Linked DNA regions of Cricetulus griseus. The protein of the gene in region 2 purifies or fractionates together with the protein of the main gene of each other region. This does not show direct contact. Links are inferred from orthologs where the notes say so. Each region holds a gene or a part of one and is shown on either strand. Other genes may lie near its edges. The genes, in order: Vdac2 and Phb.

What was found.
Region 1: the proteins of Phb (region 2) and Vdac2 purify together in Homo sapiens (affinity purification with mass spectrometry; 4 studies listed by BioGRID, with this or other methods). This does not show direct contact. The link is inferred for Cricetulus griseus from reciprocal best matches to the Homo sapiens genes PHB1 and VDAC2.

The regions. Positions count from the first base shown.
Region 1 is NW_023276807.1:199,137,735-199,141,697, forward strand, and holds the end of Vdac2 (voltage-dependent anion-selective channel protein 2), read right to left. Parts: intron 2,599-3,963; coding exon 2,541-2,598; intron 1,208-2,540; coding exon 1,116-1,207; 3' UTR 663-1,115; downstream 1-662. UniProt on the Homo sapiens protein: Non-selective voltage-gated ion channel that mediates the transport of anions and cations through the mitochondrion outer membrane and plasma membrane.
Region 2 is NC_048600.1:108,826,414-108,830,926, forward strand, and holds the start of Phb (prohibitin), read left to right. Parts: upstream 1-1,598; 5' UTR 1,599-1,689; exon of another isoform or gene 1,690-1,787; intron 1,788-2,094; exon of another isoform or gene 2,095-2,168; intron 2,169-2,715; 5' UTR 2,716-2,742; coding exon 2,743-2,830; intron 2,831-4,513.

The DNA.
Region 1 (3,963 bases), on a different chromosome or scaffold from region 2:
TACGTTCTTCACATGAACCGTTTCTACAAGGAAGTCCCAAGTACTCCATTCTCCTAGCTGTCCTCCAAAGCTTCCAACTGAACCGCAGTCTCTTACTCCACAAGTGTGACACTCTTGCCTCCCCTTCTCTCATCTGGGATTCTCCCTTTCACCTTACATATACCTCCTCGCCGTGGAAAGCTTGTGCTGTCCTACTTTTCCAACCACAATCACTGAAGAATGCAGACCGCCCAGGTGATGGCTACGGGGGTTGCCCCATGTCGAAGACCTCAGCTCAGCTTTCCAGTGTGTCTGGAAAGAGCAATGACTTCCTGCTGGTGCCCACTTACTCCTCTCTCTGCCCCTCTTGTTACTCCACTTTCTGTAGCTGTGGCTCAGAAGGGTGTGGCATGCTTGTTTAACCATTCAGCACCACTGCTGCATCATCCATGGGATTAACAGTGATTCACTGTAATTTTGCACAAACTTAGAAACTGAAGAGTGTTAAAGTATGTATCCTCTGATTTTATTGTAGTCTCAAAGACCTTGTGGAATTACGCTAAGGACACAGGAATTTGGTTGCACAGATTTAGGTAAAGAGCAAATGCTCACCAGAAGAAAGTATTTACCAAGGTTAGAACCTGGCTGGCCAATCTGTAACTGCACATACGTGGAGCCATTAGTTATGTACACTTGTTTTATTCATAATTTGTCATGTTTGGGATTACCAAAGTAATTCTAATGACGGCTGAATATAACAAAAAAAAATTTTTTTTACCTCATCTTAAAACATCCACTGATCCATCTCATTCAGTACAATAGTCAATGTTAAAAGAACATAAAACAAACATGCACACCATGGCACGGTTTTCATAAACGTCTATTTCATCATTGGTGGGTAGCACATTTAACAGTTAAATACATTTAAATAATGTATAGGTGGCTGCACCATAGCAGCACTGATAACTAGAAACCAGCCAACAGGAAACTGTCTAAATATTTAAAATACAGCTCTTGTTTAATCACCCTTTGATTTAATCACCTTCTGGGGGGAAGGGGGGAGCCTGCTGGTCACATGGAAATATATTAAGGCCAAATCTTCTGATATCCGTTCCCAGAGGTTTCTTTCAACTGGATTAAGCCTCCAGTTCCAAGGCAAGCCCAAGTTTGTGGCCTCCAGCATTAAAACTCTTCCCATCTACCAGAGCAGACAGTGTAAGCTTCACACCTGTAAACAAAGCAAACCATCATGATGAGCCTGACAACCACTCAACCTGCCCATCACTTCCTCAGCCCACTACCATAGTAATCCCAGCCAGCAAAAGGCACTGGATGAACTGTAATACTAGGAATTATGGGAATGTTCATTTTAGGCATAAAAAGGTTAGTAATAAATTCAAAGCATTCTAAGCCATAATCATGGTCACTATACTACCCAGACTAGACACCACTGAAAAGGCCAGATTGTAACTGAAGCCTGTTAGGTCTCAGGGGACCAGTGAGAAGTACACATTAGGTAGGTAAATAATGCTAATTAGGAAGGGTGTTCAGAACCAGGCGTTGGTGGTGCACACCCTTAATCCCAGCACTCGGGAGGCAGAGGCAGGTGGATCTCTGTGAGTTTGAGGCAGCCTGGTCTACAGAGTGAGTTCCAGGACAGGCTCCAAAGCCACAGAGAAACCCTGTCTCAAAAACCAAAAAAGGAAGGGTGTTCAGTTTGTTAGCAGTAACAGGCTCTCTAGTATTCACTTTCACTTTTAAATTTTAGGAAAGTTGGGCTACCATTGCTTGAGGACCTTGTTTGTCAACTGCCCTAAGCACTCCAGAACCCATTAGGAACACAGAGCTCTCCACCTCAGACCTACAGGGTGACAATCTGCATATGACCCAGAAGCTGCTCTGGAATCTCTTACCTGAACTCTGGTCCAAGACAGCATTTAGCCAGCAGTGGGGAGCTACAGTGTGTTAGACGGTAAGGAGTGGGGCTCTTTAGAGTGAGGGCGGCTGTGCTTATTCAGAGCAGCCTCCTCACTACAGGGTGAGGAGGGGCTCCTGATAAGCTATAACTTCCCAGGAAATGAGGACCAACAACACCACTACAGTCTCGAAAGGTTTACAAAATAATAAACTAAAGAAATTATCAATCTGAAAATACTGAAAAAATGGAGCTGGAGCTGGGCGGTGGTGGTGCATGCCTTTAATCCCAGCACTCAGGAGGCAGAGGCAGGCAGATCTCTGTGAGTTCAAGGCCAGCCTGGTCTGCAGAGCCATTTCCAGACAGGCTCCAAAGCTACAGAAAAAGCCTGTCTCGGAAAAAAAAAAAAGGGAGGGGGGCCTGGAGAGATGGCTCTGCAGTTAAGAGCACTGGGTGCTCTTCTAGAGGTCCTGGGTATAATTCCTACCACCCACATGGTGGCTATAGTCCCATGAAATCCAATGCCCTCTTCCAGTGTGCAGATACAGATATACAAGCAGACAAAACACCCATACACTTAAATGAATCTCTTTTAAAAGGGGATGGGAGGATATAAAAACAATTCCACTTTATCAACAATACTTACCAGGCCTCAGAGTCTGAGTATAGCCCACTCCAATTAAACTAGAGTTGTTGACCTTTGCCTAGAAAAAGAGAAAAACATTTCTGAAGGGAGACAAAACTCTTGGGTGTTACCCATCATGGAACTATAGCTATAGAGCCCAGGGCTTTATTTAACTCAATGGGATACTAAAACTTAATATCGTTATTAAGCAAACATCAAGTGTCACTTAAAAATTAGATGTTAACTCAAAATCAAATTGTATGTAGTGCCCTTTGTACACCCCTTTGGATACGTACAAAAAAAAAAAAAAAAAAAAAAAAAAAACCCTATTATTCAACAAAGTCACCTTTGTTGAGTCTAATCTAAGCACAAAGGCTAATATGTGGCTGATGACAACCAGCAGACCCACTAGAGGAACAGCCATCTTTGAAATGTGAGGAACTTATAAGCTCATGGCTTAGACCATATATCACTACTTCCAGGGTTCATCCTCAATTCTCCACAGCTTAACTCCTTCCTCACTCTTACCTTTAAGCTGCCGGATTTTGGTTGTAACTAGTCAGGGCCTGATAAAGCTCCATTGTTGCATGGTTTATCAATCTTAAGTGCCCTGACACTTTACATAACAGACCTTCAAAGGCTGACAGGAATGCCTGGGAGCAAGTATGTTAAGGAGCAGCTCCTTCTAGTGCCAGTCTCTACTACCCCAGCTAACATCTTCGCTAGGTCACCTAGATTAGCAGATTTCCAAGCCTTTTACATTGTATCCTAATGTTGTTACCCATGCAAATGTTGCATGATTTATAGCTATACAGGAAAACTTGCAGCCTGCAAGCTACAGAACAGATATGCCTGCAACTTACCCTCAACTCCAGAGCCTAGACAGGCAACTGGCTCTGCAGTACCCTAAGGGCTACAGTATAAAGCTAACATCTTGGGGTGAACACAACAGATCTGGAAACATTGACTCTATTCTTATAATGTGTAAGCATCAAAATACAACCAAGATAAAGCTGACACTTCTGGGCACTACTGCTCCACTTGGATGGGACATGCTGTCATGTTTCCACAATGACTGGCAGCAGTCACTCACTGACACCTAGGTCCCAAGTCACCTTCCCATGGAGACTAGTAGCTGAAAGGTGTTTCCACCACTGACATCCAATCTGTTATGGTGCCACAAGCATCATCTGAAGAGAACAGTGTGCTGCACGGAGTACTTTACTAGTGGTTAGACACAGCAGGGAGTCATTACTGTGTCACTGACTTGTCAAAGGAAGAAGCAATCTGAGTATTTTTCACTTGACACTATGTCTGATTATAAATGTTCTATCACAACGCAAAGATGAGAATAAACATACCTATTTAAGGTATCAAAACACTGTCCTTGAGGATCAAGAGTACTCTATGTAACAGAAGTAACTCTCCTGGACTGTTTAACTTC
Region 2 (4,513 bases):
AGCTTGGAAAATTACAGTCTGTAGTGTCAACACGTCTGCTATTTGTCAGCTGTGTGACTATAGCATGTTACTTGACTTCTCTGACCAGACATCACACTAGGGCCAGTAAGATTTGCTGTCAAGCCTGTCAACCTGGGTTTGATCCCCAAAACTCACACAGTGGAAGGAGAGAACCAACTCCTGTAGGTTATCTTCTGACCTCCACAGGTACACTGTGGCCACACACATATGCACACTCAAATCAATAAATCAATGTCTGCATTTTTATTTTATGGACATAGGTGTTTTGCTTGCATGCATGTCTGTGTACTACTTACGTGCCTGGTACCTCCAGAGGCCAAAGAAGGCGTTAGACCCCCCAAACTGGAGTTATAGACAGCTGTGGGCTGCCATGTAGGTGCTGGGAATTGAACCCAAGAGCTTTGGAAAAGCAGCCAGTGCTCTTAACCCCTGAGCCATCTCTCCAACTCCATAAATGTATTTTTTTAAACTCCATTTTGCTATTTCCAATTGGAGATGTAAAAATGGGGCTAGAAAGACGTTTGTTTTCAGTAAGTACTCAATGAGTGTTTATTGAATAGGTGTAATGCAGTCTCTTCCTTCCAGCCAAATAATCCTCCTCCATTTCTGCCTGCCTCTGCCTCCTGAGTGCTGGGATTAAAGGCACATGCCACCATGCCCAGCTTGTTTCATGTCTTTTATGTTTGTGTGTATATACACATATTCTCTTAAGAGTTGTGTATTTACACAGCAACATGTCCATGGGAAATAAACACAGCACTTCATTTCAGATTTTATCGAAGCGTGGAGAGGAATTCTATAAAAGTCGCTATTTGCTCAATTGACAAAATCGGAGTACAGACGTGGATTACATTTACTCAAGTAAGAGGGTGTCCTTGTATTTAGAGAGCAGTAGGAGAGAGAAGAGGGGAGCACAGGGAGAAGAAAGTGCTGGGAAGAGAGAGGGACAACAAAAGTAACAACAAATGCGTCTTGACAACAGGTGAGCTTAATAGGTATACATGTACATGTTCTCCGTCCCATTCTTTCAATTTCTCAAGTACAACTTTTAAAAGGTGGAGACAGGAGAGTTAGACCCTAAGTCAAGTCCTTTTGCTGGAGTAGTGCAAGACCTGAATGAGTCTCTTCTTTCTAAGCCGTTTCTAAGGTCCCGAAGCGGTTCTGGAGATCCAAGTCTCACGCCCCTGAGGCCGTCCTTAGCTTCCCTAGGAGTTTCCCAGCCCATCAGTTATCCCACCTCACCTTTTTCCAAAACGCCCACCCAGTTACTTCCGCCACCAGGTGGAAGCCCAGCTCCTCTCAGATCCAGCCCGTACCTCTCTTCTAACAGCAATCACCTCGTTACGAACTACGCACGTGCACTTATTACCAAGGAACTGCAACCCCCGAAAGGCTTTGCGGCAACATCCCATCATCAGTTGCCACCAAACGGAAGCAGGTTTCCTGCTCAGGCCCGCTGCTGCATAACCTTTTGGGAGTTGTAGTTGACCTCAGGAAAGCAACAGGGCCCGCGGAAGACTGCAAACCACGCTTCCCAGGATGCGTTGCGCTCCGCTCCACCAATTGAAGGGACGGATCTTGAAGAGGGCGGGGGAAAGGGAGGAGCTGCCTGGCGCACGCGCAGTATGCGAGTCTGGGGAATTCATGTGGAGGTCAGCGTGAAAGCGGGTGAGCGTGGAAGGGGTGGTGCAGGCCGCTGTTTGTGTGTCCCTGTAATCCTCCTTTGCTCTCCTGGGTGCGGTGGGGGTCATGGAATGCACGTGAGGGTACGCCTAACGGAGAAGGGGGGAAAGGCTGAGTCCAGAACGATCCATGGGTTGTGCAAGGGGAGGGGGCGGGATAAGGAAAAATCCAGAAGCCAGTAGAAAATAGAAAGGACTGGGTGTCTTAGTGTCAGGGGTGGAGGGTAAATGTGCGCGGAGAAAACGGGATAGACTCTCAGTTGAGTTCTGGGGAAAGGGAGGGAGGATTTGAAGAGTGCACCGAGGGCGACGCAGGGGCGGGGCATGAAAAAGTTCAAGGCTGAGTGGTTTCTAGTCTGTCAGCTACGTGCTCCCACCCACCCACCCGCCGCCGCAGCCCCACCTCCAGGCCTTCGCTGCCCTGCCTCACTGCACCCCTGCCAGCTCCCGCTTTCCGATTAACAGGTATGGGGAGGAGTTTTACAATGCCTTCTAGAATTCAGTCTCCTCATTCCAACCCTGGTTCCATACGAATAGTGTACCCTCTCCATGCACCTCACCAGTAATGCTTTTCATAAAGAAACTGAAGGTTAAATAAAACCGTTGGAGGCTGCCTAACTTAAATGTTAACAGGAATTGTCCTTTTCGTTGTTGGCATAACCCTTGTAGTACATTACTGGCTTTTCCAAAACCAAATGCACAGAGCCAGCCATACACAGTCTCTTGTGGCCTATTTGGCTAGGAAATGGGAGTGTGGTTTACTGTGGTACTAAGTTCTCTGTGGGTACGACACATCGTTCCTACGATGAGCCAAGTGTCCCAGACGCCTACAAAAGCAAACGAGATACTACATTTGCAAGATGTTGAGTGTCACGGGGTGTTCGGTGAGTTAAGTTAGAGCTCACAGGAGTAGATCCATGAAGATTTATCGTGAAAAGTGAATGCTGTGCCCCAGAGAGGGCTTTCTCCGAGGATTTCGTGTCAAGTTGTTTTATTTTTACCCCTTGTTTAGGTGTGAGTGGGTGCAACAGAAGGAATTATGGCTGCCAAAGTGTTTGAGTCCATCGGAAAGTTCGGCCTGGCTTTAGCAGTTGCAGGAGGCGTGGTGAACTCTGCCTTATATAATGGTGAGCGGGTGGTGCTTTCTGTTGATCTGCACAGCCAATTGAAATTCCTAACGGCTAGCTCTGTCTGAAGGTGTGTGTGGTGAAGTGGGCTCACCTGCTGTTACCCCACAAACTATGGTTGTGTGTAATCAGAGGCCCGGCCTTCATGTAGGCAGTGGTTCTCAACCTTCCTAGTGCTGTGACCCTTTAATACGCTTTCCTCATGTTGTGATGACCCCCAACCATAAAATTAAATTTGTTACTACTTCATAACTGCAATTTGGCTATTATGAATCTACTACTTAATAGTGTAACAGAATATGTAAAAATCTGTATTTTCTGATAGTCTTGGGTGAACCCTGTGAAAGAGTCAACCCCGCCCCCCAGGGCTCAGGTTGAGAGCTGATGACTTAGATCCTTTGCTCAAGAGGAGCCTTCCTGTCCAGTTGCTGGCTGGATGTTTCTAGAACTTTAGCCAGTTTGAAGTGATGCTCTGTTACCCAGATGCCTCTGCAGAGCAGCCCAGCAGGATCTCATTGGTTATCTTCTGCTGCATGTGGGGTGAAATAATTTGGCAAATTCTCTCAGCTTGAGAGACCTTGTCCTGAGAAAGAAGGTTTTGCTCAGCTAGTTGCAGAGAAAGTAATTTTTTGAGATGCATTACTGGGTTTTCTTTGTATTATATTGCCTTATAGGCAAGTCCCTCCTCCTAGTCCTCTGCTTTTACATTGGTCAAACAATGGGACTGAACTAGTTCTCTTAAGATTCCCTCCAACTTTGATACTCTTTCAGAATTCCAACAAATTTTATATACTTTCTGTATGGTTTGTTGCTTTTTTTTTTTTTTGAGACAGAATCTTACCATGTAGCTCTTGACTGGCCTGGAACTCTATGTAGATTAAGGTGGTCTAGAACTCACAGAGATCCACCTGCCCCTGCCTCCTGAGTGCTGGGATTAAAAGTGTGCTCCTCTGTACCCAGCTCAAATGCAGTATAGTGGCTTAAGCAACTCAGAGCTGCATCCTGCTGATTTGTTTTTTAAGACTATGTCTCCTGTAGCCACGTTTGTCCTTGAACTCCTGAACTTCTTGCTTCTGCCTATATGACTTTTGAATGAGTATTATTATCAGACTGTAAGTTTTTAGGCCAATTCTCAATTCAAATATGAAAAGAGGCAAAGTAGCTACTTTAGCCAGGTTCTGGTGGCAGACTCCTGTGACCCCAGTACTCGTGAGGCTGAGGTATAAGGATCTTGAGTTCCAGGCCCACCTGGGCTACATAGTGAGACCTTGTCTGAAAAAGTCAAAGACGAAAGGGAGGGATCTGCTTGGCTCATGAGTTATAACTTGATGTCATAGTTTGTGTAGCTTCATCTATACAGCTAGACTAGTCAGCATTTTAAAATTTCTCTCTGAGTCCACAGGACATGTTGTTGGACCCCCTCCAAAAGTTAGAGAAACAGCTATTAGAAAGATGCTGGGTAAACTGGCCATAGTGGTGTTTACCTTACCAGCACTCTGAGGCAGAGGCAGAGTTTGAGGTTAGGTTGGTCTACATAGTGAGTTCCAGGACAGCCAGAGCTACATAGTGAGAACCCAGCTTGGAAAAAAACCCATGGAGTGATACCCTCCTTACACTCCCAAAACTGGTGGGGGAAGGGTGAGACAGAATCTTTATTTCCTGGCTAATCTGTCATGAGACCCT